Linked DNA regions of Ovis aries. The protein of the gene in region 1 binds, or shares a complex with, the protein of each later gene. Links are inferred from orthologs where the notes say so. Each region holds a gene or a part of one and is shown in the gene's direction. Other genes may lie near its edges. The genes, in order: PRIM2, POLA2, POLA1 and PRIM1.

Evidence for each region.
Region 2: PRIM2 (region 1) and POLA2 share a complex: the UniProt entries of both Homo sapiens proteins name them as parts of the alpha DNA polymerase complex. The link is inferred for Ovis aries from reciprocal best matches to the Homo sapiens genes PRIM2 and POLA2.
Region 3: the proteins of PRIM2 (region 1) and POLA1 are in contact, whole or in part, in a cryo-EM structure (PDB 8G9F), measured with the Xenopus laevis proteins. The link is inferred for Ovis aries from reciprocal best matches to the Homo sapiens genes PRIM2 and POLA1. Residues at the interface, in XP_018121015.1 of Xenopus laevis: Pro34, Pro35, Thr36, Glu37, Asn38, Ile39, Ser40, Leu41, Ile42, Phe44, Glu45, Ile49, Ile107, Phe110, Ile111, Leu114, Cys117, Gln118, Ser119, Glu120, Asp121, Arg123, Ala240, Arg241, Leu243, Val245, Val246, Gln247, Arg251, Leu252; in NP_001082055.1 of Xenopus laevis: Leu842, Lys853, Ile894, Pro895, Glu896, Leu971, His974, Arg977, Glu978, Leu981, His982, Glu985, Gln988, Lys989, Asn991, Glu993, Asn1007, Asn1009, Arg1101, Asp1102, Glu1106, Gln1109, Glu1221, Asp1224, Gly1225, Asp1227, Ala1229, Leu1230, Met1233, Trp1234.
Region 4: the proteins of PRIM2 (region 1) and PRIM1 are in contact, whole or in part, in a crystal structure (PDB 5EXR), measured with the Homo sapiens proteins. The link is inferred for Ovis aries from reciprocal best matches to the Homo sapiens genes PRIM2 and PRIM1. Residues at the interface, in NP_000938.2 of Homo sapiens: Glu165, Ala168, Ser169, Pro171, Ser172, Phe188, Ala189, Leu192, Phe195, Arg196, Gly197, Arg198, Val200, Tyr201, Leu202, Glu203, Asp204, Gly205, Phe206; in NP_000937.1 of Homo sapiens: Lys147, Glu148, Asp149, Phe150, Gly151, Phe152, Ala180, Val181, Gly184, Ile185, Glu187, Tyr188, Ser190, Leu191, Lys193, Lys207, Ile208, His209, Pro210, Ile212, Arg213.

What each region holds. Positions count from the first base shown.
Region 1 is NC_056073.1:3,039,679-3,047,759, reverse strand, and holds the start of PRIM2 (DNA primase large subunit), read left to right. Parts: upstream 1-2,677; 5' UTR 2,678-2,810; intron 2,811-3,420; 5' UTR 3,421-3,429; coding exon 3,430-3,583; intron 3,584-5,488; coding exon 5,489-5,592; intron 5,593-8,055; coding exon 8,056-8,081. UniProt on the Homo sapiens protein: Regulatory subunit of the DNA primase complex and component of the DNA polymerase alpha complex (also known as the alpha DNA polymerase-primase complex) which play an essential role in the initiation of DNA synthesis.
Region 2 is NC_056074.1:39,930,238-39,937,735, forward strand, and holds part of POLA2 (DNA polymerase alpha subunit B), read left to right. Parts: intron 1-3,027; coding exon 3,028-3,134; intron 3,135-5,702; coding exon 5,703-5,896; intron 5,897-6,538; coding exon 6,539-6,627; intron 6,628-7,498. UniProt on the Homo sapiens protein: Accessory subunit of the DNA polymerase alpha complex (also known as the alpha DNA polymerase-primase complex) which plays an essential role in the initiation of DNA synthesis.
Region 3 is NC_056080.1:23,027,348-23,034,845, forward strand, and holds part of POLA1 (DNA polymerase alpha catalytic subunit), read left to right. Parts: intron 1-2,674; coding exon 2,675-2,791; intron 2,792-3,959; coding exon 3,960-4,135; intron 4,136-6,262; coding exon 6,263-6,392; intron 6,393-6,882; coding exon 6,883-7,002; intron 7,003-7,498. UniProt on the Homo sapiens protein: Catalytic subunit of the DNA polymerase alpha complex (also known as the alpha DNA polymerase-primase complex) which plays an essential role in the initiation of DNA synthesis.
Region 4 is NC_056056.1:162,922,764-162,930,261, forward strand, and holds part of PRIM1 (DNA primase small subunit), read left to right. Parts: intron 1-473; coding exon 474-580; intron 581-651; coding exon 652-725; intron 726-2,057; coding exon 2,058-2,194; intron 2,195-2,540; coding exon 2,541-2,599; intron 2,600-3,714; coding exon 3,715-3,824; intron 3,825-4,330; coding exon 4,331-4,422; intron 4,423-4,591; coding exon 4,592-4,733; intron 4,734-6,861; coding exon 6,862-6,931; intron 6,932-7,338; coding exon 7,339-7,424; intron 7,425-7,498. UniProt on the Homo sapiens protein: Catalytic subunit of the DNA primase complex and component of the DNA polymerase alpha complex (also known as the alpha DNA polymerase-primase complex - primosome/replisome) which play an essential role in the initiation of DNA synthesis.

The sequences.
Region 1 (8,081 bases):
TTTTTTTTTAAGCCTGTGTAATGTCTCACAGGGCTTCCCTGGTGGCTTGGTGGTAAAGAAATATGCCCGCTAATGCAGGTGACACATGTTTGATCCCTGGGTTGGGAAGATCCCTTTGAGAAGGAAATGGAAATCCACTCCATTATCCTTGCCTGGGAAATCCCACGGACAGAGGAGTCTGGTGGGCTCATGGGTTCATGGCATGGTGAAAGAGTTAGACACAACTTAATGACTGAAGTTAATTTCAGGACTTATGGACTTCCCTGGTGGCTCAGACGGTAAAGCGTCTGTCTGTCTATAATGCGGGAGACCTGGGTTCCATCCCTGAGTCGGGAAGATCTGCTGGAGAAGGAAATGGCAATCCACTCCAGTACTATTGCCTGGAAAATCCCATGGATAGAGGAGCCTGGTAGGCTACAGTCCTTGGTGTCGCAAAGAGTCGGACACGACTGAGCGACTTCACTTTCCTTTAATGACTGAACGGTAACAACTGACATATTAGTGAAATTGGTAGTTTTGTGGTTAGCACTGTGGTGCTTGGCTAGTCTCTGAGACTTTGAACCTGGCTCTGCCAGCTACTAAGTGACCTTTGAAGTGACTCAACTTCTCTGTTGTACAATCCGTATCTGTAATGTAGGTTAATAACAGAGACCGCAGCAATGAAATTAAAGGATGCTTGCTTCTTGGAAGGAAAGCTATGACAAACCTAGACAGTGGGTTAAAAAGCAGAGACAACGCTTTTTCAACAAAGGTCTATACGGTCAAAACTATGGTTTTTCCAGTAGTCATGTGCAGATGTGTGAGTTGGACTATAAAGATGGCTGGGCATTGAAGAACTGATGCTTTTGACTTGCGGTGCTGAAGATGGCTTGAGAGTCCCTTGGACTGCAAGGAGATCAACCCTGAATATTAACTGGAAGGACTGATGTTGAATATGGAATACTGCAATACTTTAACCACCTAATGGGAAGAGCTGACTCACTGGAAAAGACCCTGATACTGGGAAAGATTGAAAGCAGAAGGGATGACATAGGTTGAGATGGTTGGATGGCATCATTGACTCAGTGGATATTACTTTGAGCAAACTCTGGAAGATGGTGAAGAACAATGAAGCCTGGTGTGCTGCAGTCCACGGGGTCACAAAGAGTCAGAAGCGACTTAGCAACTGAACAGAACAGAACCTTAAATGGGTTCAGTTCAGTCACTCAGTCGTATCCGACTCTTTGTGACCCCATGGACTGCAGAATACCAGGCCTCTCTGTCCATCACCAGCTCCCGGAGCTTGCTCAAACTCATGTCCATCGAGTCGGTGATGCCACCCAACCTCTGTCGTCCCCTTCTCCTCCCGCCTTCAATCTTTCCCAGCATCAGGGTCTTTTCAAATGAGCCTTTTAAATGGGTTATGGCAATACAATGAACTGACATGTAAGTCCCTCAGAACACGTTCTGGTACAAGGTCAGGGTCAACCCCTGTTTGGCCCAGGCTAGGCAGATGCTCTGAAGCTTGACACTGTTTCAGCTCAGTCTGCATTTCCGAAACCTTGAACGTCTTGACGGCTCCTCCCCTCCTACCTTGACAGGGACTTCTAGAGGCCTCTTTTGTGAGCGAGACCCGCCACCTGGCGGCCTCAGTTCTGAAACGCTGCCGCGCACAGTGGGGGCCGTCGCCTCCCGCGCCTCCCGCGCCTCCCGCGGCCTCGCCGGTCACCGTCCGGCGCCCCGCGGTCTCCTTCCGCAGACGCCGAGCGTTCCTGAGTGCGCACGCGCAAGGCGTGCGTCCCGGCTGGACCGAGGTCCCCCTGCGGACCCTCGCCGCGCACCGAGAGTGCGGAAGGGGCTCGCCGACCAGGAGAAAAGCGGGCTGACCCGCGGTACGCAGGCCGCCTAGCCGCCGCCTCTGTGAGCGGTGAGCCGGGCCTCCCGCTCGCCGGGCTCTCTGAGATTATCACCCAGGGTCCCAGTCTGGAGCCGGTGCTGACCCGGCGCCGACAGCTCAGACCCACGCACACGTAGTGCAGCAGTGAGAGTGACAGTCGCTCCGTCGTGTGCGACTCTTTGCGAACCCACGGACTACACAGGCCATGGGATTCTCCAGGCCAGAACACTGGAGTGAGAAGCTTATCCCTTCTCCGTGGACCTTCTCGACCCAGGGATCGAACCCTAGTATCCTGCATTGCAGGCGGATTCTTTACCAGCTGAGCCACAAGGGAAGCCCAAAATCATCTGGCAGCGGTGGGATTCGAACCCCGACCCCTACAGCCGCTGCTGCCAAGTCGCTTCAGTCATGTCCGACTCTGTGCGACCCTATAGACGGCAGCCCACCAGGCTCCCCCGTCCCTGGGATTCTCCAGGCAAGAACACTGGAGTGGGTTGCCATTTCCTTCTCCAAAGCATGAAAGTGAAGTCGTGTCCGACTCTTAGCGACCCCATGGACTGAAGTCTACCAGGCCCCTCCGTCCATGGGATTCCCCAGGCAAGAGTACTGGAGTGGGGTGCACTGCCTTTTCCAGACCCCTAGAGACTGGATCTTTAATCCAGCGCTTTATCACGGCCACGATACATAGTGCAATACCTACGACAGAAATCCAGAGACCGCCCCACCCAGAGGGCCCCACTGAGCATGCGCAAGCCTGGGCTGGGCGGGCTTGGGGGAGAGGGCGGGCTCCGCGGTCCAGCCATTTCCGCTTCCGGTCCCGTTCGAACTCTCCCGCCACCTGAGGAAAGCTGTTGTCGTGTTTATCTGTGTTTGGTGTAGTTGCAGGTGAGAGGAGCCGCCGGGGTTTGCGAAGAACAGTAACCCTGGGGTTGAGGTGTGCGAGCCTGGAGAATGGGGAGAGCGGCGGGCGCGGGGGGCGCGAGTCCGTCCTGGTTGCTTGTCTAGGCGGAGGCGGGTGCCGGGGCTGACAGACCGCGTTGGCTGAGGGACCGCGGAGGCGGCGTGTCACTCGGCGCCGCTGGACGCTCCGGAGAAGAGCTCCGACGTGCGGCGCCTCGGAGACAGCCGTCAGTTTTCAGGGGTTGTCAGGGAAGAAGCCCACCGAGTCGCGTTCCTAGCCTGAAGCTCCCGCGCTTTCCTCCGAGTTCGGGGTCGCAGCCCTCGGGCAGTCTCAGCCTGACCCTGGAGAGCTCAGAGCCTTCAAGGCGGAGCGCGCAGACGCCTGGAGAACCGCCCGCGTCCCCTGCTGTGGACGTTGCGGGAAGTCACGACCGCTGCCCGCGTCTCCGCAGGGCTCACCTCTCCCCACCGCCTGTGTACCGCGGTTCCAGCGGTGTTGTCGAAGGTCTGGAAGACAGGGACACGACTCAACATGTTGTGCGTGCTCTTCAGAATCAGTTGCCAGGCAGAATGTTTTCCTTTGTGTGTGGAGTTATTTTTTGTTTTTAACTCCATTTCCCACCGTTTTTTGTGCTTGCTTCCAGGGTAACAAGATGGAGTTTTCTGGAGGAAAACGGAGGAAACTGAGGTTGGCAGATGACCAGAGGAATGCTTGCTACCCACATAGCCTTCAGTTTTACTTGCAGCCACCTTCTGGAAACGTATCTTTGACAGAATTTGAAACGTTGGCTATCGATAGAGTTAAATGTGAGTGATTTGAATTTGAATTTTTGTATTCCTGAGAACCTCACTTATACCTTGTAGAGATAAATTAGAGTAATTTATTTCCTTCTTTAATATTTGCTCAGGTTTTTCGTTGAGATTTTGCTGTTCATTCATTTTTTCCATGTACTGTGCATATTTATTGAGTGCCACTTTATTCTAGGCGGTAGGGATTTTGAGCTGAGTAATGAAATTGTCATCTTTGTTGAAGCTGTATTCTAATACATGGAGACAGATGTCCAAAGCAGTAATTATAGTTTAGTATTTTAAGTGCTCTAGTAGAGGTGTTATTGAAACAGATGGGAATGATTGACCTAATCTGATTAAGTGAAACTTCTTAAGAAAAGTTGAAATGTGACCTGGATCTTGAAGCACGAGTAGCAGTTTCTCAATAGAGAGGAAGGGAGCGGTTTTTGCAAGCTGAGCTAATGGTCTGAAGGAAGAGTTGGAAGCACCAGAGAGCGTGAAACACTGGAGGGAAAGGTGGCAAGTTCAGGGTGGGTGGAGAGCTGTGGGTAACCAAGGGTGTTTTGTACCACGCTAATGCTGTGATGGCATCACCGACTCGATGGACGTGAGTTTGAGTGAACTCCGGGAGTTGGTGATGGCCAGGGAGGCCTGGCGCGCTGCGAGGGCGTGCTGTGATTCATGGGGTCGCAAGAGTCGGACACGACTGAGCGACTGAACTGAACTGAATGCTGTGATAAGTGTAAGAAGGATGTAGCGATTTTCTTGAGCCTGCTTGTCTTCTCTGTGTTGGTGGAAGAAAGAAAGAAGTTCGGTGTCAACTGCAACAATAGCACTGCCTGCAGAGTTTATGTTCCAAAGCATATCCTGATGGGGAGATCAGAAGTAGAAGTGAGATACTGTTAGTCATTCTTAGAAGAGCTGGGTGAGAATTGCTAGTACAGAGTACCTGTATTATCTGTTTGCTGAATAAAAGAGTAAAGGGCAGGGAGAATGGGTTCTGGGAAGCTTAGCATGGGTTCTGCGATGCCTCATAGAGGTTAAGTGGTTGAAAAGGGTCCCTTCAGTTTGGCCCTGGAGGTGAGATGGTGAGGCAGGGACAGGAAGGGAGACATGGAAGGGATACCAAGGAGGTGTAAGTGACAGGGTTTGATGACTGCTTGGGTGTGAGGAACAGGGGATCAGGTGAGGAGGGCTGAAGTTCCAGGGTGGCTGATCTCGTGGGTAGAAATGCTGCTGTTAGAGGTGGGTGGCAGGAAGAGGAGCAGGATTGAGGGGCAGAGAATGAGTTTGGTTTGGGAGACCATAATACGGAGTCCCTGCTGGACATGGCCTCAGGATTCATTTCAGAAGTTTTTCATTCTCAAATTAATCTCTCTTTTCTCACCAATGGAAGAAGAATTCATCCGAGGAAGAGTTGACAGGGGCTTCAGGAGCCTTTGGACAGAGCGAAGCATCTAGTCAGAGTGGCTTGTTTGCTGCTTTACTGCTGTGTCTTCTTCTCTGCTTCATCAGGAAGGGGCTGGCTATCTTCCGAAGAGTCTGTGCTGAGTTGGTGAAGCACCCGCCTCACAACCGGCTCAGCACGAGGGCTGGATGCGCACGCTGACACACTTGTGCATCCCTCAGCAGTGATGCTCAGTACATCATGATTGTCCCCATCCCTCTCTCCCTTCCAGTTGAGAATCCCTGGTATGAGGTTATGCTGTGGGATGTGGTTATTTTCTGCATATGGTTGGAGGTTATTCTCTTATAAACATATATAACATGTAATGTGCTTGCAGAAAATGAAGCTTAAGTATTGTTATAAAAAGTAATTATGGAATTGCTATCCATAGATTTGTCTTAGATTTAGTTTTTTAAGATTACCTTGCATTTATACATTTCCCCCCACCTTTCTTCTGTTTTTCAAATTTTTTCTAGTGCTAAAAACAGTTGAGAATCTTGGTGTGAGCTACATGAAGGGAACTGAACAGTATCAGAGTAAGCTGGAGGCTGAGCTTCGGAAGCTCAAATTTTCCTACAGAGTAAGTAAAAGAGGGACAGAGATGTTCCTTCAGTTTGTGTGTGTACTGGTAGTGACCATAGGAAAGGTCTTGTATTATGCACAGGGCTTTAAAAAAACTTCCTGAAGGAACCTACCGACCACGAGGGATGATTGACATACAGTCAAACTCCAGTGCGGCAGGGTGTCTCCACCTTAGGAATGTGAACATGCGGGACCTGATGATTCCATGGTGCATTTAGGGGGCTCACTGGCATCTCTGGCTTCTGGGCTCTGTTTCCAGATATTGCCAGATGTGTCCTGTGCAGTCAAGGTGACAAATGCTGTTATTTGATGTGTTCCAGGAACTCTGTTTTGCTCTCCTGGTGGCTCAGTGGTAAAAAATCTGCCTGCTAACGCAGGAGTTGTGGATTCTCTCCCTGAGTCGGGAAGATCCCCTGGAGATGGAAGTGGCACCCCACTGCAGTATTCTTGCCTGGGAAATCCCATGGACAGAGGAGCCTGGCGGGCTACAGTCCATGGGGTTGCAAAAGAGTGGGTGGGACATGACTTAACAACTAAATAACAACCAGGAACTCCAAAAGTACAGATAATTAGCTCAGGTTGGGGAGGGCTTCCCAGATGAGATAGTGCTGGAACCGAATCTCAATGGATGTGATCTCATTTTTATTTTGAGAAGATGAATATGGGAATACCAATCAGGAGCTTGGAGATGACAAGTAAATTGAATGGAGTGAAGAGGACTGATTGAAGAGATAGTGAGAAGATGGAATCATAAGATTATAGAGATTGAGTACAAGGAGGAGGAACAAGAGTTCTGAGTGATGCTTGGGTTTCTGGTGATGACAGCTGGGTGGATCGTGGGATATACAGGAGAGGAGGCAAGTCTTACTAGAAAGAAGACTGAGTTTAGTTCTCGTTGTAACTCTGAGGTGCTTGTGGAGCTATCTTGAGGGCTGCAGGGTGTGCAGCAGATCTGGGCTTGAAGACAGGTGGTGGAACAGTCGTAGTGTTTGGAGGAGAGAGGTGAGAGATGAATGTGGAATATTTCCTCTTCTAACATGTCCAGCTGAGAAGACCGGGGAGGTAGGTCTGAGTATAGGAAAATCTGAAGGGAGAAGATAACACGTTACAGCATATATTTGAACATATTTATAAGCTGAGCAGAACGATCTGGAAGAGAAGAAAGGGCGATTGTAGATATTTTGGGAGAACTTTGGATTAGTCATGATCCTTAGGAGGCAGGAGCAGGTGGGCTACGGAGTTTCTGTGTGGGATCAGCTGTGTGTAGGAGGAGAGAGAGGTCTGTCAGTAGGGATAGTGGGGAAGGCAGTACCACACGCGGTGGCAGGAGTTTGGGCTGAGGAGCCGGCCTGAGGCCTTTGCTTTCTGTAAAGTAGATGAGGTCTTGTGATGAGAGGAGGGAACGGTGGTGTATTGGGGAGGGCTGGCCACCTAGTGAAGATCAAAACAGCTGTCCTGAGATGGGGGAAGGAATAGTTATGGGGCCAGATCCCAGCTCTGCTGCTTACAGGCTTGTGACCTGGAACAAAGTCAGTTTCCTCATCTTTAAAATAGGGATATAGTGGTGCCCTCCTCATAGGGGCTTTCGAAGGATTATGTGGATTAATGGATTAAAACGCTTATAACAGTGCCTGGTACATTGGGAGTGCTCAGGACATGTTTGCTCTGACTGTGCTGAACTTGAGGAAAGATTCCTTGGTGTTACTTGTTTGACTTAGTATGACTAGAATGCTGGATTTTAGTAGATATGTAAGAAGCAACAAAGGTTTACTGTATAGCATAGGAAACTATAGTTAATATCTTATAATAACATATGATGGAAAATAATTTCAAAAATAATATATGTGTATTTGTGTAACTAAATCACCTTGCTGTGCACTTGAAAAGTTGTAAGTCAGATATACTTGAATAACATATATATATATTAAAAAAAAGATTTCTGGGTGTTGATAAAGGTCCAGTTGAGGTTTGTTGTTGTTCAGTTGCTCAGTCATGTCCGACTCTTTGTGACCAGTTGAGGATAGAGGCTGTGAATTTTTAATGGTCCAAAGTCCTATAATTGTATATTTTTTTTCCCAGAAGTTCTCAGCATTTTGGGAGCAGGACTGCAGAGTATAGCTGTGGATTTGTTTATAATCTAGGTTTTGCCAAATGGTTGAAATGAAAATAGTTGAGGGTTTATCTGAGAAGTGGTGGAAGAGGTGAGTGGCTGGGTGTAGGCTGGCCGAGAAGGAAAGTTAGAGGAGGAAGAAAACAGTGGGATCCAAACCCAGGAGGTGGTGGTGTTCAATTGTGTTTCACCCAATTGTCAACCTAAGTAAAGTGATGCTCATCCTGGAGAGCATATTATGAAATCTGTGTCGTTGAACTTCTGCTTCACCGTTGGCTTATGCTGACTCAGTAATTCTTTACACCTTTCACTGTTTTGCATTTATTTTCTTCATTTGCTATTGTTTTTCAGGAAAGCTTGGAAGATGAATATGAACC
Region 2 (7,498 bases), on another chromosome or scaffold:
CTTATCCAGTTTAGGTGTTGGACCCCACGCTAAGAGGTGGAATAGAGCAGTGGAAAGGCACTGTCCTCAAAGCCTGAGTCAAAGACCTCAGTGACCTTGAGTGAGCTGCTTTTATCTCTCTGAGCTGCCATGTCCTTTGCTGCATAATCAGGGTTCATTCATTCGCTTACTGAGCAACTACTATGTGCCAGACACTGGATGAACTGGTGGATGGAGCAGGCAAGGTTGTGCTCTGCCCTCAAGAAGCCAGTAGCCAGCAGATAATACCCTGTGATATTATCTTAAATATCTTGAAGGGCTTGAAAACATGTAAATGAACATGTAAAGTGCCAAACCCAAAGCAATGTATTCAGTAATCATAGTTAGTCTCTACAGAAAATGAATTTGTGGCAATCCTTAAACAAGGAGCAAGCCTTAATCTATCAAAGTAAATCATACTGTAAGAAAGAAGACGATAGGGGAATTCCCTGGCAAGAACTTGGTGCTCTCACTGCCAGGGCCCTGGGTTCAGTCTCTGATCTGGGAACTAAGATCCCACAAGCCACGCTGCACAGCCCCCCACCCAAAAAACAGAAGGAAGGAAAGGTGAGTCATTTACATGTGCCTGTGGAAAGCAAGAAAGCTAAAATGTTCACAGCATCAGGGTTGTTCATATTTGGGAGGACTGACTTGTGGTAACTCAACTCTCAGTAGACTGACACGTAAATCAGATACAAATTTACTTAATTTACTGTTGAAGTACACAGCTTTCTGATGGCTGAAATACCATATTGAGGACACCCCATTCCTGCTACAAAAGTACTCAGGAGGCTCAATCACAGATCAAAGTTTGGCCATGGAAACATAGCTAAGAGATGAGCTGAAATGGGTGAACAATTTGAAATATGCATCTGGAGCTCAGAGGAGAGGCAGACTGGATCTGGGGTAGAAACAGGAAAAAGACTTGAACAGTGCCCAGCATGTGGGAACTCGGGCATCAGCGCAGCACGATGACAGGGTCAGAGCCCAGGGCTGGCCTTTCCCACCCAGACTGGTGCCAGGGGCAGGAGGGCCCATGTTGCAGAGGTGAATATGTCAGTGGTTTTAGCTTGTCACCATTAAATATTTACCTTGTGCAATGACAGCTACTCTTTTTAAATTTTTTAATATTTATTTATTTCTTTGACTGTGCCGGGTCTTAGTTGCAGCATGTAGGATCTAGTTCCCTGACCAGGGACTGAACCCAGGCTCCCCTCCATTGGGAGTGCAGAGTCCGAGCCACTGGATCACCAGGGAAGTCCCACCAGCTGCTCTTTTGCCCCTGTGCTCACCATAAATCTTCTGGTTGTAGTCCGACTTTCCACATGTCCTGCCTGACAGAGAAAGATGTATCAGCCTGGGGATTTGAAGTTCCCATGCTTCTGGCATCTTTTTTCTAATAAATGAATAATCTGGCTAAAATTTGGGTTCCTGTGTGCTCTGAGGATGAGTTCCCCCCAGGGTGTGAGACTGCAGTCCCTCTGTATGTCTCATTATGGGTGGGTAAACCAGCCAATAGTATTAGCAGTGAGTCTCCTGAGCTTGCTGCGAGTGAGCACACCCCAGGAACGTCTCGAGCTGGTTTGCTGGCACAATCAGGCTTCACCACGTGGCTGAGGGCTGAGCCCCAAGGCTCTGCTCTTTCCCAGAGTCCTGTCCTCTTGCTTCATCCTGGGAGATGGACCTGGAGCTCTGTAGCCCCCTATGTATTAGAAGGGTCTTCGGGAAAAATAGTTTGAGAAAAACCTATTGAAACCGTAAAATCTTTGCCATCGTTTGGCCCAGTAATCGCTCCTAGTAAGAATCTCTCATAAGAAATTATCCAAATTCCAGGAAAAGCTATTGTGTGATAGTGAGCACCTCAGTATTTGTTGTCTCCAGAAACAGATACACCCAACAACAGAGAAGTAGTTACGTAAACTATTATATATCAATTCCATCAACACAGCTACCAGAAAGGATGAAGACTGACAATGTGGGAGAAATGCTCAGAATTAATATAGAGCAAAAAACTCATAATATACAATACTTCAATGAAGGATCATATTCAAACTAAGATTATAACTATTAGAATTTTTTCAATTGGAAAAATATTGAAATACTAGAAAGGAGTATTTTTAAATGGCTGTTGTATAAGTGTAGCACATAAGGAAGGGTCCTTTTAAAATCTAGTTTCCATTCCAGCCACTTAAGGGTGGTTTCGAATCCTGCTTTCTTTCTCCTTGCCTGTCCCTAGTCACCCCGTAGGCAGCTTTGGTGGCATAACCTAAACCCGCAGCCAGGAGGAGCCCAAGGGCAGGGGAACGCTGGCCAACTAGCCAGCTGCCTGGTTTCCCTCCAGCCGAGGATTTTGTCTTTGCTCAGCCACAGTCCGTTGTCCCAGACTCTGGGGAGCAAGGGATCTCGGGATTTGCCGGTTTCACCCTCCACTCCAGGCATCTCTTTGGATTCTTCTTGATGAGCAAAACCACCCAGAAAACAAAACTGACCATCAGTGAGGCGTGTGCTAAATACTCTCCAAGTATGAGCTCACCCGTGTTATCTGCCTGGAGTCACTCCCTTCTTTAATTCTGAAAATGTGTGGTAGACTTTGCCAGAATAAATAGTAACATGGTCCCATCCCTTGACAGGAAAATGTGTCCGTGCAGGTTAAAACTATGTGTGTAGCCAAACTCCCAGCTGTGCTAAAGCAGAGAGGTGGGGAAGGAAAATGAACACGCGAGCGATTTGACAGGACAGATCGCCTGCTTGGCAGTCCTGTCGGGGGATGTTGTTGGCATTTGTTTCTTAGTTGCCTCCCAAATGGAGACAGCGTACTGCCGAGGACTGTATTACAGTTGCTAAAGTCTGAGATTCTGCTTGAAAGATGGGGCCTTCAGAAGAAACCCAGCCCTGTGTGGTCTGTGCCCTTCATCCGGGCACGTCCCCCCTTTTTTCCTAAGGATATGCGTGCTTCACTTAGCAACCCGAGTCTAGAGTAACTGCGCCCTTCTCCTGCTTTGCTTCTAGGGTTCTCAGAAGCGAACTATCACTACCCCAGAAACCCCCCTCACAAAAAGAAGTGTGTCTGCTCGGAGCCCCCATCAGCTCCTCTCACCATCGAGTTTCTCTCCAAGGTATGGATTCTGATAATTCAGCTGTCAGGCAGCAGGCCCGCCCTCCCCTCTCTCTGGTTACCTGGTAGAGGCTGACACTACAACCTGACTTAAGGAAGAGAGGTGGACGTTTCCCTCTGCAGTCGACTGGCTAGAAGACCGACTGCTCCCTCCCCTCCCCGCCCTCATCCTGTGTGGAAAGTTACTGTTTCTTACTGGTAGTTAAGGAAACTCACTTTCCACCCTCTTTTCTAGGGCTCATTTCCTAGCTCAGAACCTGATACCTCCTACCAAAAACAACCTGTCTATTCAGAAGTTGGGGAGCCTGCAAGTCTCTTGCCAGGAGGAGGCTAATAGGTTTCCACCTGCTTCTGTTAGTTCATGTGTTGTTGGGTTTCTTTCTTTCTTCTTTTTTTTTAGGTATTTATTTTTAAAAAAGAAAAGCACATATCTTTGTTCATAACATTGCGTAACCTGTTCTTTGTTCCTCACTCAGGTTACAGCTAGTTGCTGAGAGTTTTCTTGTCCCTGAACCTACCCCAACTTCATTGGTATTTTATCCCTGCTGCCACTTCTGCACATAAATCCACAGGGATCACGTGTGACTTTTGGAAATCCATAAATGACACGTGTTCCATGAGAGAATTCCGTAGTGGGAGCTCTGCTGAGGAGAAGAAAGGGCTTTAGGTGCTGCCGCATCGGGATGGGGCAAAGGAACGGTGGCGTGAGCCAGTTAGGGCGACACTGGCTGCCAGGAGTCACTTCTAGACCAAGCAGAGCTTAAGACTTGCCAACCTAAGACTTTTCTGTCACATCAGAAAGGAGGTGATAGGGACCTCCCTGGGAGTCCAGTGGTTAGAACTCGGCACTTTCACTGCCGTAGTCCCAGGTTTGATCCCTGTCAGGGAACTAAGATCCCACAAGCCACTTGGTAGGGCCAAAACACACGAAAGAAAGAAAGGGAGTGCTAGCATTGTTCAAGATCAGAACGGGGTCAGATTCTTTTTTTCTTCAATTTTTTAATTTATTTATTTGGCTCGGCCTAGTCTTTGTTAGAGAAGGCAGTGGCAACCCACTGCAGTACTCTTGCCTGGAAAACCCCAATGGATGGAGGAGCCTGGTAGGCTGCAGTCCATGGGGTCGCTAAGAGTCGGATACAACTGAAGCAACTTAGCAACAGCAGCAGCAGTCATAGCTGTGGCACGTGGAATCTTTAGTTGTGGCATGTGAACTCTTGGTTGCAGCCTACAGGATCTAGTTCCCCAACCAGCGGTTGAACCCCGGGCCCCCTGCATTGGGAGCACAGAGTCTTAGGCCCTGGACCACCGGGGAAGTCCTCTGAAAGGTAGTTGGATCCTGAGGGCGGATTTGACTTTAGTGTGGCCCACTCCTGCTTTCAGGAGTTTTCACCCTGGCTTCCGAATAGAACTGTGTAGACTTAGAAGGGCATCTTTGGATGCACAGAGATGGCTGGTTACAGAGTGGTTCTCGTAGGTGCCAGCACCATGGCAGCAGTTCTGTTCTCTCAACAGCAAGACTTTGAAACTTGCAGATCTGTTTGCAACAAACCCCGCGTGAGCATCTCCCTGGGTTAAAGGGCCGGCTGTAATGTGTGCCGCACAGAGCTTCGCAGGGAGGAGCTTGGCGCAGCTGAGATGCCCTGCCTCGTCATTCTGTAACGCATGCCAGTAAAGCTGACATCAGAAACTGGCTTCGTAATTTATGAAAGTAACTTCTAAATTATTCAGGTGGAGGCAGCACTGGAGACAGAGGTCATTAGTCAAGCTCGTTTGCTGCAGCCTCTGTGGAAAGGAGGAACTGGCAGCACCCACTGTAACAGTGCCTATGTAGAACTGGTTCCCGCAGGGTTTCAGGGCATTAAATGAAGCCTGTTGTAAGCAGGCCTCTTGGTGCACTGTTCACAACCAAAGGCTTAGAAGACCTCGCTGTCCTCTAAGCAGATCAGCAACACTGTGTGTCCTCGGAGGTGGAATTTATCAGCGAATGAGGAGAAATACGAGAACTTGCCGATTGAGACTTGGAGAGTGGGAGTGTTTGTTCACTAGCTGACAGAATTCATTACCTGCCCACCTCCAGAGATCCTGGGGAAAGCTGATTCCCTTTCATTTAACTTCATTTTGTTACTGTTTCTGCCTTGAACTATGTCATGAGGGGTTATGTGTGCACAGAGCAGCTTTTGACTTATCCACAGTTCCAGGCTCCGATGATATTCTAACAAGTGCTAAAAATTCATAAGAAAGAAAATAGTACTCGAAACTGGCTCTTTAATCAATTCAGAGTTTGGGTTTTGTTTTACTTTGTTAGTTTTAAGCCAGGAGAAGACCTTTTAAACTGCGTCTCTGTGTCTAAGCTTTTCTAAACACGTTTGGTATTCCTCAACCCCCCTCATTCCTGAAATTCCTTAAAGGTCCAGAATGTCCAACCCCATTAAGCTGATTAGATTTATAAAATGTGAGGCCAGGCTGGCATGCCTCCAATCCCAAATTTCCGAGAGGTAGCCTCATCTTAGACTCCTCTCTCCTTTTAGATATGAACGCGGTAACGTTGATGTCTTTTGCTTCCAATCAGTGCTACTCCCCCTCAGAAATACAGCTCAAGAAGTAACCGGGGAGAAGTGGTTACCTCCTTTGGCTCGGCACAGGGCGTGTCTTGGTCCGGGAGTGGAGGAACTAGTCACCTCAGCCTGAAGGTCTTGGGACATCCAGAGCCGCTCACCCGGAGCTACAAATACATGTTTCAGAAGCTCCCAGACATTCGAGAAGGTATTTGTTTTTCCCTTTGACATTCTGGAGGGTATAAAACCACCTGGAAGGGCTTGAATCAGTAACAAAGTGTCAGCTAGGCTGGTAGAACAAGTTCAAGGTTGCCTTTGATTGATAGATGTCCTCTGGGCACCCCTATTAGGAAACAGATATAAGATGACCACTCTCAATAATTCTCCCGAATCACAATCACTTTGCTAAGAAAAAGCACACAACCATTTCCCAGTAACAGCCGCTTGAACTGTGTAAAGGAAGCCAATTACAGTGTTAAAGGAAGCGGAGACATTTATGGCTTCTTCCTTGGAAAGACTGGAAGGCTCTTCGGGTTGTTCTTGGCTTCCCTGAAACCCCCCTGACCACCTGAGTAAGAGGGAGGGTGGGGAGGGAGCCAGGCTGACCTTGGGACTGTGACCTCATCCGTGACCCCCTCCCTCCCCCCACCATGGCCAAATGGAAGGCCGGGTTCAGCAACCAAATATCGGGCAATTGGCTCGGGCTTGAGAAACTTACAGACCGGCTGGTGTCCTCGGCTGCCTGCCTGCTTCTGTAAAATGACTGACTTTAATGTTTTACAAGGTGCTATGTTTTCTCTGCTTGGCAAGTAAAATGTCTTAAACATGCTTTTTCCCTCTGGGATTTCAGTTCTGACCTGTAAGATAGAAGAACTTGGCAGTGAACTCAAGGAACATTATAAGATTGAGGCTTTTGCTCCCATTCTAGTCCCAGCACAGGTAAGAGTTGTTCTAATAGTCTTTTCTGATGGATATTGTTTTATTAAATCAATGATGAAAAGTCAGCCTCTGGCTTCCTTTTCACTAACTGTCTACCTTCTAGTTAGAACATCTACCTTGGATGAATTTGGTAAAATGGGTTGTAAGTGCTGCCTGGTTTTGTGACCAGATTAAGTCGTTTTCTTTGCGCTTGAGTTAGAGTCTTGCATGTAAACAAGATTGAGGGCCTTAAGCATTCAAGTGTCAGGATATGAGAACAGCAGCAAAGTGAGGATTTCCAGAAACAGTGACTCATGGTCTTTCCCCTTCTTTGGTCTCTGTCATCAGGGATCAAGTGCTGTGAACAGCGTCTGCGTCATAGTTTAATCTGGCTCGTGCACAGTGCTTTCTCTCTAGCGTGTACTTTAAGGGGAGATGTGTTCTCAGAGTTTCTTTACGGGGCCTCTGTCACATATTTGCATTCAGAGGAGAATGGCCAGCTGGGGAAGATATGCAAAACCATGTCATATAAGGAAGATTTGGGGGAGTTGGGAGGAAGTAGTGGAGGGGAGGCTGGGTTGTACGATCTCTTGGGGAAAGATTAGACTTCCTCGGTTTGCCCCCGGGAGTGAGAACAGGATAGAGGAAGCCACCGAGAGAGGAATTTCAGCTCAGTTTAATGAAGAACTTCCTGTTACAAGGCGGTATGGTGTGTGGTTAAAGGATATGGCCCTGGAGCCAAACATCTGGGCTTCAAACCCACACTTTGCCCACTGTTTGACCTTGATTAAATTATCTAACCTTTCTGCTGCTGGTTTTTCTCATCTCTAGTATGGATGCAATAATAATATCCACCTCACGGTTATTGTGAGAGTTAAGTGAGTTGATACAT
Region 3 (7,498 bases), on another chromosome or scaffold:
CTGGCTCAGCACCAGGCCTACATCCAACCTACTAGCATCCTCCCTCTTGGGCCCCAAGGAAACATCATGGTATCTAGGGGTAGCTGGCCTGCCTTAGGGTGTTAGAGCCGAGACTGTGAGAAATCCGAACCAGAATGAAAGAATCCTAACATGAGTTTGAGTCCCTAATCCCAGGCATGAGAATTTGGAAATGAGACTTGCTCATGTCCTTTGGGTCTCTGAGTTTAATAGACAAACTTACCATCAATATAGTGGTATGTATCTTTAATTAAAATTAATAACAAGTAAATCTGTTTATTAGTTGATTTTAAACTTGATATAGTTGATTTTGCTAGTTTAGTTCAATCACTCAGTCATGTCCGACTCTTTGCGACCCCATGAACCACAGCACGCCAGGCCTCCCTGTCCATCACCAACTCCCGGAGTTTACCCAGACTCATGTCCATTGAGTTGGTGATGCCATCTAACCATCTCATCCTCTGTCGTCCCCTTCTCCTCCTGCCTTAAATCTTTCCCAACATCAGGGTCTTTTCAAATGAGTCAGCTCTTCGCATCAGGTGGCCAAAATATTAGAGTTTCAGCCTCAACATCAGTCCTTCCAGTGAACACCCAGGACTGGTTTCCTTTGGGATCGATTGGTTGGATCTTCTTGCAGTCCAAGGGACTCTCAAGAGTCTTCTCCAACACCACAGTTCAAAAGCATCAGCGCTCAGCTTCTTTATAGTCCAACTCTCACATCCATACTGTTGACAGTAATGTCTCTGCTTTTTAATATGCTGTCTAGCTTAGTCATAACTTTCCTTCTAAGGAGTAAGCGTCTTTTAATTTCATGGCTGCAGTCACCATCTGCAGTGATTTTGGAGCCCCCCAAAAATAAAGTCTGACACTGTTTCCACTGTTTACCCATCTGTTTGCCATGAAGTGATGGGACTGGATGCCATGATCTTCGTTTTCTGAATGTTGAGTTTTAAGCCATCTTTTTCACTCTCCTCTTTCAGTTTCATGAAAAGGCTCTTTAGTTCTAATTCACTTTCTGCCATAAGGGTGGTGTCATCTGCATATCTGAGGTGATTGATATTTCTCCTGGCAATCTTGATTCCAGCTTGTGCTTCTTCCAGCCCAGCGTTTCTCATGATGTACTCTGCATAGAAGTTAAATAAGCAAGGTGACAATGTACAGCCTTGATGTACTCCTTTTCCTGTTTGGAACCAGTCTGTTGTTTCATGTCCAATTCTAACTGTTGCTTCCTGACCTGCATATAGGTTTCTCAAGAGGCAGTTCAGGTGATCTGGTATTCCCATCTCTTTCAAAATTTTCCAGTTTCTTGTGATCCACACAGTCAAAGGCTTTGGTATAGTCAATAAAGCAGAAATAAGATGTTTCTCTGGAACTCTCTTGTTTTTTCGATGATCCAGCACATGTTGGCAGTTTGATCTCTGGTTCCTCTGCCTTTTCTAAAACCAGCTTGAACATCTGGAAGTTCATGGTTCACGTACTGCTGAAGCCTAGCTTGGAGAATTTTAAGCATTACTTTACTAGTGTGTGAGATGAGTGCAATTGTGCTGTAATTTGAGCATTCTTTGGCATTGCCTTTTTTTGGGATTGGAATGAAAACTGACCTTTTCCAGTCCTGTGGCCACTGCTGAGTTTTCCAAATTTGCTGGCATATTGGGTGCAGCACCTTCAGAGCATCATCTTTTAGGATTTGAAATAGCTCAACTGGAATTCCATCATGTCCAGTAGCATTGTTAGTAGTGATACTTCCTAAGGCCCACTTGACGTCACACTCCAGGATGTCTGGGTGTAGGTGAGTGATCACACCGTCGTGATTATCTGGGTCGTGAAGCTCTTTTTTTGTACAGTTCTTTGTGTATTCTTGCCACCTCTTAATATCTTCTGCTTCTGTTAGGTCCATACCATTTCTGTCCTTTATTATGCCCATCTTTGCATGAAATGTTCCCTTGGTATCTCTAATTTTCTCGAAGAGATCTCTTGTCTTTCCCATTCTAGAATAAGCATAATTCACACAATGGAAATTATTAGTACAGACTTGGAAAATATGGTTATCTTTTTGAGTTTTTTTTTTTTTATTCAGGATAGTTTTGTTTCAGTGTTTTCAACAAGTTTCTTATTTGAACTATGGAGTGATATCTGTTTATTTTGTTGCATATTGATTAAAAGTCAAAATCAGTTGTGTTTGAACTCAGTTCTTTAAGAAGAAACTGGATGTACTTCCTGAGTTTTCTAAGAAGTCTATGTAAACTGTCACACAGCACAGCTGGGTTCTTGGTTGTTAAGGAAGTAAAATGAAATTATTTGAATACAGCTTCTACTGATGACCTGAAAAGTATGGGACATTAAAATTTGCATTTTCCTGAGAGACTGTGAGGTGTAAGTTGCAAATTAAAAGACATCATATGAACCTGGCATCAATTAGAATAAAATAAAGTTTATTCCAGCAATCTGCTTAGCAGCCTTGTTAATGTCAAGGCTAATGAATGCTGCTGATGAATAAATTCCTGAAGAAGAAAGGACCCCCGTCGGAGGTAAGCTCATGATGCCTTCAATTAGAGACCAGAAAAAGAAAGGGCAGAGAAATTCTATGCATTATGATGATAAATCCTTTAATTTGTGTTTCTTTTAATGTTATTGGCTACATTCTTTTTCTGACTAGGGTCATAATATTTATGGTTTTGAACTGGAAGTGCTACTGCAGAGAATTAATGTGTGCAAAGTTCCTTTCTGGTCCAAGATAGGTCGGCTGAAGCGATCCAACATGCCGAAGCTTGGGGTAATCATAATTTTCAAATCTTTCTTCTCTGTTTTGGCTTCTGTATATTGAGTAGCTACCAGGTTGCACCTTGTGCTTTTTTGATTTGGAATCAGGACTGCCTTATGATAGGACATTTTAACTTTAGCACTAAACACCTTTTCCTTTGAATTCAGTATTTTATTAGTAACCACTGGTAATTTTAAAATTTAACTTTTAGAATCTAGAGATAGCACGTGCTTATTAGCTCCACTTGGGCATCCCTAAGAAACAGCTGTGGGGTTCAGGAAGGAGATGGGAAGGAAGAATGGGAGGGATCAGACACTGAGTGGGCTGCATATTTGTCCTCTCTCTGAGCAATTGCAGGTTTAGGGGTACATTCTCACAGAGGGGACAGAGCTTGTTCAAGATCCTAGAGCTAGTAAAGGCAAGAACTATAATTTTGAACCCAGGCCCCATCTGACTTTTGGAAGGCTTGTCCCTTTTCATTCTGCCTGCTTGCTTGATAAAGGGGGCTTGTGGTGGGTTTTGGATGAAGCACCTTCATTTCCTAAACTCTGACACTGCTCTTTGCTTGAAATCTTTACTTAAATCTTACCAGTGAACCAGAATGCTGCTTCATCAGAGAACTTAGGAATCTGTACCTTTTGTAACATTCTCCAGAGAATTCTGCTGCTGCAGATTGGAGTTGGGAGCCAGTGCTCTTGCTTCTTTTCCTGTTCATCTCTTTAAGACAATAGAGTCGTTATTAACACATCATCCAGATGCTGGCATTGCTTACTCCTTACCCGCTTCAGGGTTCTTTATATGGCATCTTCTCAGTGTGGTCTACCCTGACCACCCTGTTTAAGATGTAGTTCCTGCAAATTCCTTGTTCCCGTCACCATGTTCTATTATCCATATACTTATTACCTCCCAAAATTATATAATTTTTTTAGTTGTATATTTCAAATGAGATCAGGTATCTTTTCTACTTTGCTAACCGCTGTATCCCTTATATTCTGAGTGTCCAGAACAGTGTCAGATACACAGTCAATGTTCAAAAATATATGAGTGATGGCTGAATGAATGCATGAATGGAAGAATGAAAGTTTCATCATTGTAGTTTTGGGGCTAGTCTCAAATCAAGTTAGAACGAAATGTCAGTGTCTGCTCTTCCATGGGATTTGCTTTTTGTCCTCACCTGTAGGGCAGGAGTGGATTTGGTGAAAAAAATGCTACCTGTGGCCGAATGATCTGTGATGTGGAAATTTCGGCGAAGGAACTGATTCGGTGTAAAAGCTACCATTTATCTGAACTTGTTCAACAGATTTTGAAAACTGAAAGGATTGTAATCCCAATTGAAAATATACGAAACATGTACAGGTATGATCCTGGATGCTTCAGAATTTCTCTGTCTTGAAATTAACTGAAATGCCAGAATCATCCTTAGGCTGGAGGAACAGGAGCGTGTGGTGCTGTGGAGGGGAAAATTGTCTGTCTTCATGTCAGCATCACATCTCCATTCCTTTAGTGATGTGAATTATTTTGCCTTTTGAATTATTCTAATTTTATCATAATATCTCCCTCATTTAACACCATCTTGATGTTTCCTGAGAGCAGTTTGGAAATTGATGTGATATTTAGGTTTCCACCCTTAATTCATTAATTCAGAAATTAATGCAAATATTTTGGAAATATAAAATCTGAAAAGTCATTCAATTATCTGGAGATATTGCTCCTTATTTCTTTTTTCCAGCCTTGTTGAGGTCAAATTGACAAATAAAGATTGCATTTTATTTAAGGTATACAGCTTGATGTTTGATACACATTGTGAAAAAATCATGACAGTTAAGCTAATTAGCACACTCATCACCTCACACAAGCACTAATTTTTTCTTTTCTTTTTTGTGATGAGGACACTTAAGATTTCTTCCTCTTAGGAAGTTTCATGTGTATAATACATTATTCACTGCCATCACATTGCTATACATTAGATTTCTGGAACTTAATTCATTTTGCATAATGTAAACTTTTGCTTGATTATTTCTTACATAAGGTTTCTCCTACCCCTATGGCCATTTTGCATTCTTTTCTGCCTGTTCCTCCCGAGTTCTCAAACTGCTTTTCTTTCTGACTGCGCTCCCTGCCTGGGTGATCTCATCGAGTTGCAGGAATTTCAATACCACGTGGGTGCTGATGCCTCCTCTGAGTATATCTTCACTTTGGACGTCTCCCCTGAATTCAGACTCATGTCTCTACCTCCCTGTTCTGCTTAATGTCTGATATGAGCCTCCAACTCAGCCTGTTCCACAACTGAGCTCCTGACTTTCTCTTCCTTGTTTCTCTTACTTTTCCAGTATCACTGGAAACCTCCAGAGTCATCCTCAGCCTGGAACCTCTGAGGCATCTATGATTCCTTTCTCTGACATCTTATGTTCCATGCATCAGGAAATCCTGTCAGCTCCATCTTCAAAATATGTCTCTATGCCACTTCTTTTCTCTTCACTTGGACCCACCCTGGTCCAAGCCACCATCCTCTTTCTCCTGGGTCACTGGGTCTTATATTAGCCTCCTTACTTGTCTCTTTGCTTTTGCCCTTGACTCCTTGTTGTCTGTTCTCAACCCAGAAACGAGAGTTTCTGTGCTGAAGTAAAGTTGGATATGGCACTGTACTTAAAATCTCCTAGTGACTTTCTGTTTCATTCAGAGTAAAAACCAAAGCACTTATTATGACTTAAAAGGTCTTATACAGTGGGTATCTCTGCCATTAATTCTGTCCTTATCTTCTCTTATTCTCCATCATTCTCTGTATTGCAGCCATTGGTCTTGTTCTTGATATTGGAACTGCGAGATTTATGCTCAGACTAGGGCATACTTTTTTTTTAATTAAAAATTTTTTTTTGAATGTGCTGTTCTGTCTGCCTGGAATGTTCTTCCCTCAGATTTACCCATCTGAAAGAATTACCCTCTCACCTCTTGTGGGTCTTTATTCTCAGTGGACTCTTCCTTGGTTCCCTAACTAAAATTTGTCTCTGCTCTTGACCCTTAATATTCCCTTCTTAACTTTTCTTCTTAACACTTAGCCTTATTTAACATACCACATATTAAAATTTTAAGTTGTATCCTACCTCCCCCATAAGGATAGGAATTTTTATCTCTTTTGTTCACCGCCAGAATTTAGAACAATGTCTGGCATAGAGTGGGTATGTAATACATATTTAGTGGATGAAATGAATGAAAGGATTTAGGGCGTTTTCAGATTGTAGTTAGCATATAACTTTATCTTAGTGTGATTTTTTTTGTTTGTTTTAGAGAAAGGCATTGGGATCAATGGTATGAATGAATTCCTAATTTCATACTGAACTTATTTTAAATTGTTTCCAGTGTGAGGTGCCATTGGCTCTGAAGTTACATAACCAAAAATTTTTAATAATGCTTTATGAAATTCTAATTTTAATCATTGTTTCTTTTAATTACTTGATTCTGTTTCATTCTTACTTTTCTGTACAGTGACTCTTCTCATCTGTTGTACCTGTTGGAGCATACCTGGAAAGATGCCAGGTTCATTTTGCAGATCATGTGTGAGCTAAATGTTCTTCCATTAGCATTGCAGATCACTAACATCGCTGGGAACATTATGGTAAATTTAACTTAGAAAGGGGAAAAAGCATTTCCTGTTGGATCCAATGTTTTCTTGGGGTAGTTGTTATATGATAATGAGTCTAAATGCATGCTTATAAAATGAGTAACTTGTATTTTGAAAGCTGGGCTTCTTTTGTAAAATGAAGAACTGCTTGGGAGAGGGGGAGGAAAGCCAGGTGCAGTGTGTTGAAATTTGGGGGAACATAAGGATTGTCTCTGACATCTGGATGTGTCTGATTTGTGGAATGGTCCATTTGAGAGTAAAGAAATAGCCGAGTTGTGGGTATTTTAAGCTCTCTTTGTCTCCTTTTAACTGTAATGCTTAAAGAAGCTGCTGGAAATAATTAATACCCCCCCTTTTTTTTAAACCAGCCCTTGATATGGTGAGTGAATTTGAAGGAGGTGCTATGATTAAATTTATCAATTTGATTTGCTTTTGTTTATTGTGGTTTTGAGCTCAAGTTTTTTTTTTTAATTCTATTTAATAGTCTAGGACGCTGATGGGTGGACGATCTGAGCGTAATGAGTTCTTATTACTTCATGCATTTTATGAAAACAACTATATTGTGCCTGACAAGCAGACTTTCAGAAAGCCTCAGCAGAAACTGGTGGGTCCAAAATTATATAGTGTTTTGCTTTTTTATATCCCCCCTTTTTATTAACAAGATTGTTTCTTTGGGCTGTGATAACATCTACTTCCCAGATAAGTAGAAACTATCCTGTTTGCTCCATTGTTTTGGTATGGTCATTTCCTTCTCTACTTTTCTCTATACAGATAAAAATTATTTGTGAAATATGAAATTCTTTGAGGGAGGCATTAGGCCTCTGATGCGTGACCATAGATGGAAATTGTTTTGCTGGGTTAGCACTACCAGTTGAACCTTTTATTTCCTTGAACCCCTAAGCCTTACTTTTTATGTTGTGTGGTTGCATTTTTATATTCTAGTAGGATTAAGGTCACCACAGTCAGGTTTCTGAAGTAGTCTCCATCACACCAGAAATAAAACTTAGCTTAGCTGCTGTCTTATCAGCACGGATAGTAATCAATTTAGAATGGGAGTTTAATGTTAAAATGACTCAGATTCTTTTGTTGTGCTTGTTTTA
Region 4 (7,498 bases), on another chromosome or scaffold:
CTGACTTGGGAGATCTTTTTGAATTATTGAAAAATTTTAAACACATTTTTGTTACTTATATGACCAATAACAACTAAAGGTCCTTAAAATATCTTGCAGTAGGCTACTAATTATTTGTATGGACCTTTCCTGATCAGAAACCTAGAAATGCTTTATTATGATTTCTACTGATCAACAAATGTTTATTATACAATGTCTTATGTCAATTATATCTCAATAGGATGATCAGAAAACATACTTATGGTAAAACATTTATCAAACCTTGTTTTTAGTAGATGGAAGTTACACTGGCATCACTTCTGGCTGTATAGGATCAAATCAGTGAGCTTCTTTTCTATGTCAGTCACTGACAGACTTGGCATTATATGGTTTCTTTCCTTCTCTTTGGCCCCTTTTTCTTTATAGGTAGGAAATAAGCATATATGACAGTGTGGCAGCTCTTACAGAAACTGATTGATATTTTGTCCCTTTAGCCCAATCAACACAATACAGTGAAGCTGGGAGCTTTCCAGGCTCAGGAAAAAGAACTGGTGTTTGACATTGACATGACAGACTATGACGATGTGAGGAGATGTTGCAGGTGAGTTCCGCATGCTTTGCTAGTAGGGTGGGTGATATCACTGACAGTGAGTAATGATCATTCTGCCCCAGTTCTGCAGACATATGTTCCAAGTGCTGGACCCTCATGACGATGGCCATACATATCATCGACCGAGCACTGAAAGGCAAGTATTAGCAGTATCTAAATGGGGTCACGTGCAAGAATCTTTTTCTTCTGAATATTAATCTGTCTATACCATTTTATAATCAAGTCTCATAAATTTCTGACATGTTTCTTTGAAATATATGATGGGAAAATAAAAGATTAAAGTTGTAGTTAAAACTTTGATAAACCTATTGATCAAATCATGTAATTTTTTTCCCAGTTCAGTCATGTGTTGAGCAATTCTTGCATGCCAGTTACTGTCCTAAGTGAGGAACTATGAAAGATAACAGTTCTTACCTCAAGTAAGTTATGCAGTCTAAGGAGAAAACAAGAAAAATAAGGATTACATATGTGTTAATATGCACAGGGTGCTATGGGGATATAGAACAGCAGGAGTGCATACAGGAATGGGAAGATATTAGATCAGAAAAGGCTTCCTGGAAGAGGTGATGGTAAGGATGAGAATGATAATGACTAACTTATATAAGAGGCTTATTATGTACCAGGCACTATTTCAAACACTTTAAATGTGTTACCTCTTTTAATATTCTTAGCCAGGGTCTTTAGAGAGAAATGGCAGTTGGTCAGGGAGAGAAATGGAAATACTGGGGCATGAAGAAATTCTTAGCAGAGTGACCAGGATAAGTAAAGAACTGAAAGCAAGAGCTCAGGGAGCATGGGAAACTACAAATAATGTACAGTTGACTCTTGAACAACATGGGTTTGAACAGCGCAATTCTACTTATACAGATTTTTTTCAGTAGTAAATACTGCAATACTATATGCTTCATAGTTGGTTAAATCTGCAGATGTGGAACCACAAATATAGAGGAACTGCTGATGCAGAGGAACTTGTCCTTTTATATATATATATATGTGTGTGTGTGTGTGTGTATCCATACACATACATATTTGTTGGCCGCACTGGGTCTTCATCACTAGACATGGGCTTTCTCTAGTTGAGGGCTATTCTTCGTTATAGTGTGCAGGTTTTTCTTATTGCAGAGTATAGGCTCAGTAGTTGTGGCACACAGGCTTAGCTGCCCCACGACATGTGGAATTTTCCCTGACCAAGGATCAAACTTGTGTCCCCTGCATTGGCAGGCAGATTCTTAACCACTGGGCCACCCAGGAAGTTCAAGGAACTGTTTCTATGGAGGGCCAACCATAAGTTTTATGTGGATTTTCTAGTGGGAGGGTCGGCATCCCACTTTGTTCAAGGGTCAACTGCAGTATAGTTAAGATGAGTACATGTGGATAAGAGGTAAAAAAAAAAATCAAGCTAGAGAAATATGCAAGAACCAGAAATTTACAAATTTATTTTAAAACTGATGATTTCTTCCCTCCTCAGAGGACTTTGGATTTAAACATCGTCTCTGGGTATATTCTGGAAGGAGAGGTGTTCATTGTTGGGTCTGTGATGAATCAGTTAGAAAACTGTCCTCTGCAGTACGTTCTGGGATAGTTGAATATTTGAGTCTGGTAAAGGTAAGGTCTTCTTAATGATAGTTTACATTTCTTCATTAGCTAGACATCACCCAGCCTTGTATGTTTAGTAACAAAAGCAAACTATCTTTTAAGCATTCATATTTCAGAGTAAATGATTTTATCAGTAGATCAGTTAAAATCATAGTAGTTACATTTTTAAGATATCTCATATTTTGCTGTATGTGGCAAAAGGAAGTTTAGTTTACTTTTCTGGTCCAAGTATGTCAAGTAAAGTTAACCAAGATTTATACTTTGACAGAATTTAATCAATATCTTTAGAATACATTAGAGAAAATTTTGATTCTTACATGAAGTTTTGTTTTGTTTTTGATGGTTTGTTTTTCAGGGTGGTCAAGATGTTAAAAAGAAAGTTCACCTAAGTGAAAAAATTCACCCTTTTGTCAGGTCTGTTGGGGAAGACTCCATGAAGTTTAAGTTGTGTCTGATTTACCTGCATGTGCTTTTAGAATTACTGTATCAATTTTCTGCACCAGGGTAGCATTTTACAACAATAATAGCCAGAATTAATTAATTGTCTGTTTTGTACATTCCAGTATTCTTGATAGGTGTTTCACAAATGTTCTTATTGGTCTTTACAACAACCGCATTAGATACATGATGGTTATCTCTCATCTATAAGTGGAGAGATTGTATAATTTGTTTGGCTTTATGCAAGTAATTATTAAAATCAGCATATATGTCCTTGTCTGCTTGATCCCAAAGACCATACCCTTTCCATTTAATTCACTACTTCTCTAGGATAATGGAAAGAGCATTGCATTAGAAGTAAGAATCCCTATTCTGCCACTTTAATATGACCTTGATAAAATATTAGAGACTCTGTTTCTTATCAGTATGGGGAGAACAGTGTCTACTCCATCTATCTCAGAGTTGTGGCAGAGATTAAATGAAACAGTAGAAGGGCCCTGGCAGTCCAGTGGTTAAGACTCTCTGCCTCTACTGCAGGGGTCATGGGCTCAGTCCCTGACTGGGGAACTAAGATCCTGCATGCTGCATGCTGTGCAGCCAAAAAAACAATAATAATGAAATAAAAACTAGTAACCTAACGTACAAATATATATACATAAAACAGTAGATGCAAAGTCTATTTTCAAACTGCAAAGCACTTTGTAAGTGTTGAGATGCTAAAGCAAGCAATTCAGAATAGAAACTGTTGATTGTATCCCACATCCTACTACTGATGTATTATTACATTGTCCTGACTTGGTTGCTTTCTGCCCTTGTTACATGTCTGTGATGCTATGAACCTTCTAAATTGTGGGATTTAAGAAGTAAACATTTCTTGAATATCTAGTCTAAGCCAAGTACTTTGCTAGGTTCTTTCCCCTTAGAGTGTTTCATTTAACTCTCATAACCCTGTGAAGAGGTATAATTCCCATTTTATCTAGTTAAGTTCTAGAAATTCAGTGAAAATAAGTACTAGCCTCCCTAGTGAACAAAAGCCGTGTGCCATATATGTCACTAATAGTGTTGGGACTTTGTTATTATTGTTCCTACAGAAAATCTATAAACATAATTAAAAAATACTTTGAACAATATGCCTTAGTTGATCAAGATATTCTTGAGAATAAAGAAAGCTGGGATAAAATTTTAGCCCTTGTTCCTGAAAATATCCTTTCCCAAGTCCATTTCTATGTGAGCTACTTGTACTGACCTGTGATATTATAAATTTGTTCTACCTGCATGTTCTCATGTACTTATATAGTTTTAATCTTTTTTACACAAAACATCTCCTGTATTTCTGCATTTTTTTTTAAAATCTCTAGTCTGGAATACAGTAAGAAGCGAGGCTGTTTTGTAAATAAATTTCCTCATTTTGGAAGCTGATCCTCCTAAAATTAGTGACTACTTAACGGATACAAAATGATCATCAAAATATATACAGATCACGAACCAGTTTTACCTTAAACCTTAAAGCTATTTTGGCATTCTTTCTGTCGTACCTAATACAATTTAACAGGGGAATTTTTCTAAGGTTTTGTGTTTAATATGTGTATTTTAGAAAATAATAATTACTTTCTATGTAGTCTTTAGATATCCTTGTGGTAATACACATTGAAAATAAGTTGTTCATTGATGTACCCTAAATGAGTATGTTCCTTAATGATCCATCACCAATGCGTGATGAACTTCAACAAGGCTTCCAAAGGCATAGCAATTCACTTCAGCGTTGGGAGAATTTGAAGAACACCATCAACAAATATCAGGTATATTCCATTGAAATCTGTATTACAAATACAATAATGCAATTCTTAATTAAATTATCATTTTTTCACTTACTAAGTTAAAGATGGTTGAAGATCATTTTTTCACCACCTTAAAGAAATCTTCAAAAGTTCCTACTGATCCTCATGCTGGACTTACATCTGTTTTTAGAAAAACAACAAAAACGACAAATGTGGACCCTGGCTTGAGTGGGAGATCATGCTCCAGTATTGTTTTCCACGACTGGATATCAATGTTAGCAAAGGAATCAATCATTTACTGAAGAGCCCTTTTAGTGTTCATCCTAAAACAGGTACTATTTTTTAAAAAATTAAGAACAAAAGAAAAATCAAAGTTATTTTTTGTTATAGAAAGCATGTCACTGAGTGTGAATGTCTGAAATAGTAAAGCTTGAAGAATTGTTCTGTCAGCTAGTATCTGAATTAACTTATTTTTCCATTGTCAGTTAGTAGGTATTCAATGAGTTTCCACTATGTAAATAATTTTCAGTTGGGTTTCTAAGGTTCAGCGTTAGAAGTAGAGTTGGAGAGGAACTTAAAAATCATAGAACAGCAGCACATATTGTTCAGATGAGAAAACAGTGGCTCGAGAGGTTAAAGTGATTTGTCCACAGTCTTAAAACAAATTTTGGGGAATTCCCTGGTGTGATCCAGGGAGGTTAGGACTTGGCACTTTCACTAATGGGGACCAGGTTCTATTGCCATTCGGGGAACTAAGATCCCACAAGCCTCGTAGTGTGGCCAAAAATAAAAAAATTATGTCAGAACTGATAACAGAGTTCAGTTCTTAAGACTCAAAGTTCCATGCTTTTTAGAAATAGAATCACAGATGTAGAGGACAGACTTCTGGTTACCAAGGTGGAGGCAGGGGGTGGCATGAATTGGGAGATTGGGATTGACATATATACTCTACTATGTAAATAAATAATGGGAACCGACTGTATAGCTCAGGAACCTGTACCAGTTATCTGTGGTAACTTAAATGAGAAGGAACTCTTAAAGAGGGGAGCGGTATATGTAATGTATGCATAGAACTAGTTCCTTTTGCTGTACAGCAGAAATTAACAACACTGTAAGGCAACTATACTCCATTCCATGCTCTTTCCACTATGCTGCCTCCCTCAGGTCTTTTTCAATAGATTTAGCTTTCTTCTTTCACTCTTCTGGATAAGATTTGATGGACTAAAACTGACTTTACAATAAGTATGATAGTAGATACAGTGGCATAAACTTTGCTCCATCCAACTAGAGGACACAATTAGAAGTATCTAGTTATCCTTTTTAGTGTCAACAATTCAACTCTGCCACTTGCCGTGGGAAGTTAAGCAAATGACCCTTGGTTTTAACATCTGTACAGTAGATACCTCAGTGGTTTATGGTGAAGATCTAAAAGGTTAAATACTTAGAAAAGTGTCTGTCACATATTCAGTACTCCCACATTGCCTAGTTTTCTTTAATAGTCTACAATGACTCTGTAGTATATACATTTATATAGCCCCTTTTCAAATCTGCCAGTTATGTGTTTTTAGTTTATTTTGGTAACAAGCTTAATGTTTCTTAATGTTTCTCTTAATATTCTAAAGCTTCAGTGAGTATTCCCCTTATTTAATATTCAAGATTTGAGTAACTAATTACATTCACTCGTAAGTATACATTTTTATTATATCTTTTTCCCATTAAATGGCTATAGTCTTTTCACTCTGCCTTCTACCCGTAACTCTCAATTTCCTTAATTATTTTGTTAGTCACCTGCCATTCTTTAAATTCATTATCTCATTTTTCAGATATGAATTTTATCCTCATGTCCCAGATGTGGATTTTGTAAAAGGGTAATATGTCATTTATATTATTTCCAAAGATGCTCAACACATAGGTGTCTGTTTTGATTTCAGCAAATTAAAGTAATGAAGTAAACTACTTCCATCTATTTTGTGTTCCATCTTCAGGACTCACTAAATTTGAGATTGTTCCGTACGTACATATTGGAGGATATAGGGAAGAGAAAAACAGAAATCAAAATGGATATAAGAGCAACTAGGTAATAGCTCAGCAGTCTTTCACATCTATTTTTTGGTGTTTTTAGAGAAATAAAAGGCACTAATATGAAAGTACTTTTTTTTAAGACCCAATTTTATTCTGTTTATGTATTTTTTGAAACTTTTTGGCCACATGGCATGTGGGATCTTAGTTCCCTAGGCAGGAAGAGAATCATACCCCCTGCATCGGAAGTGTGGAGTCTTAACCATTGGACCTCCAGGGAAGTCCCGAAAGTACTTTTATATTTCTAAATAAATATTCTTAACAGATTAGTGTAACCCTCTTTCTAAGCCTTAAAGTTTTAGCCAAAAATAACTCATAGGACACAGCCTATAATTATTTGTATTGTACAATATTCAGCTTATAATTTTTTGTTTTTCACAGGTCGCATTTCTGTGCCTATTGACTTACAGAAAGTGGATCAGTTTGATCCATTTACTGTTCCAACCATAAGGTATGTTCCAGATCACTGATCACTCCTTTTTTGTTTGTGACTTGTAAATGTGAAGTAAATTGGATTAGATCCCTTCTGGAGAGGCAGCTTCTCTGAGGCTGTATGATGGTGCCCTTCCAGAAGAGCATTTCCTCGTGAGTTCTACAGAACACAAATTTTTCAGCTACTATTATGCAAAAAAAAAAAGTTCAAATAAGTTTGAGAAGTGTTGACTTAAGCAAAATTTCCTAGTCTTTAATATGCTAACATGCATGGAAAACTCCAGAAAGAGAGTATGATGTTTAGAATATCCCAAATTCATTTGGCCACATTTTTTTCACAGAAAATCTTGTGAGATTCATGTGCTTTCATACACTGGGTAATATTGACCAAGAATCAACTTTTAAATTATCTTCTATTATTTGTAGTTCCATTTGCCATGAGTTGGATGTTATTTCTACTAAAGAAGAAAAAGAGAATGGAGCTGAATCTGATATTAAACACAGAACCAGAGGTAGGTTAGTATATTGAAGTCTCACTTTAACATAATCTTTTTATATTGACGTCTTTCTGTGACTCAGTAATTAA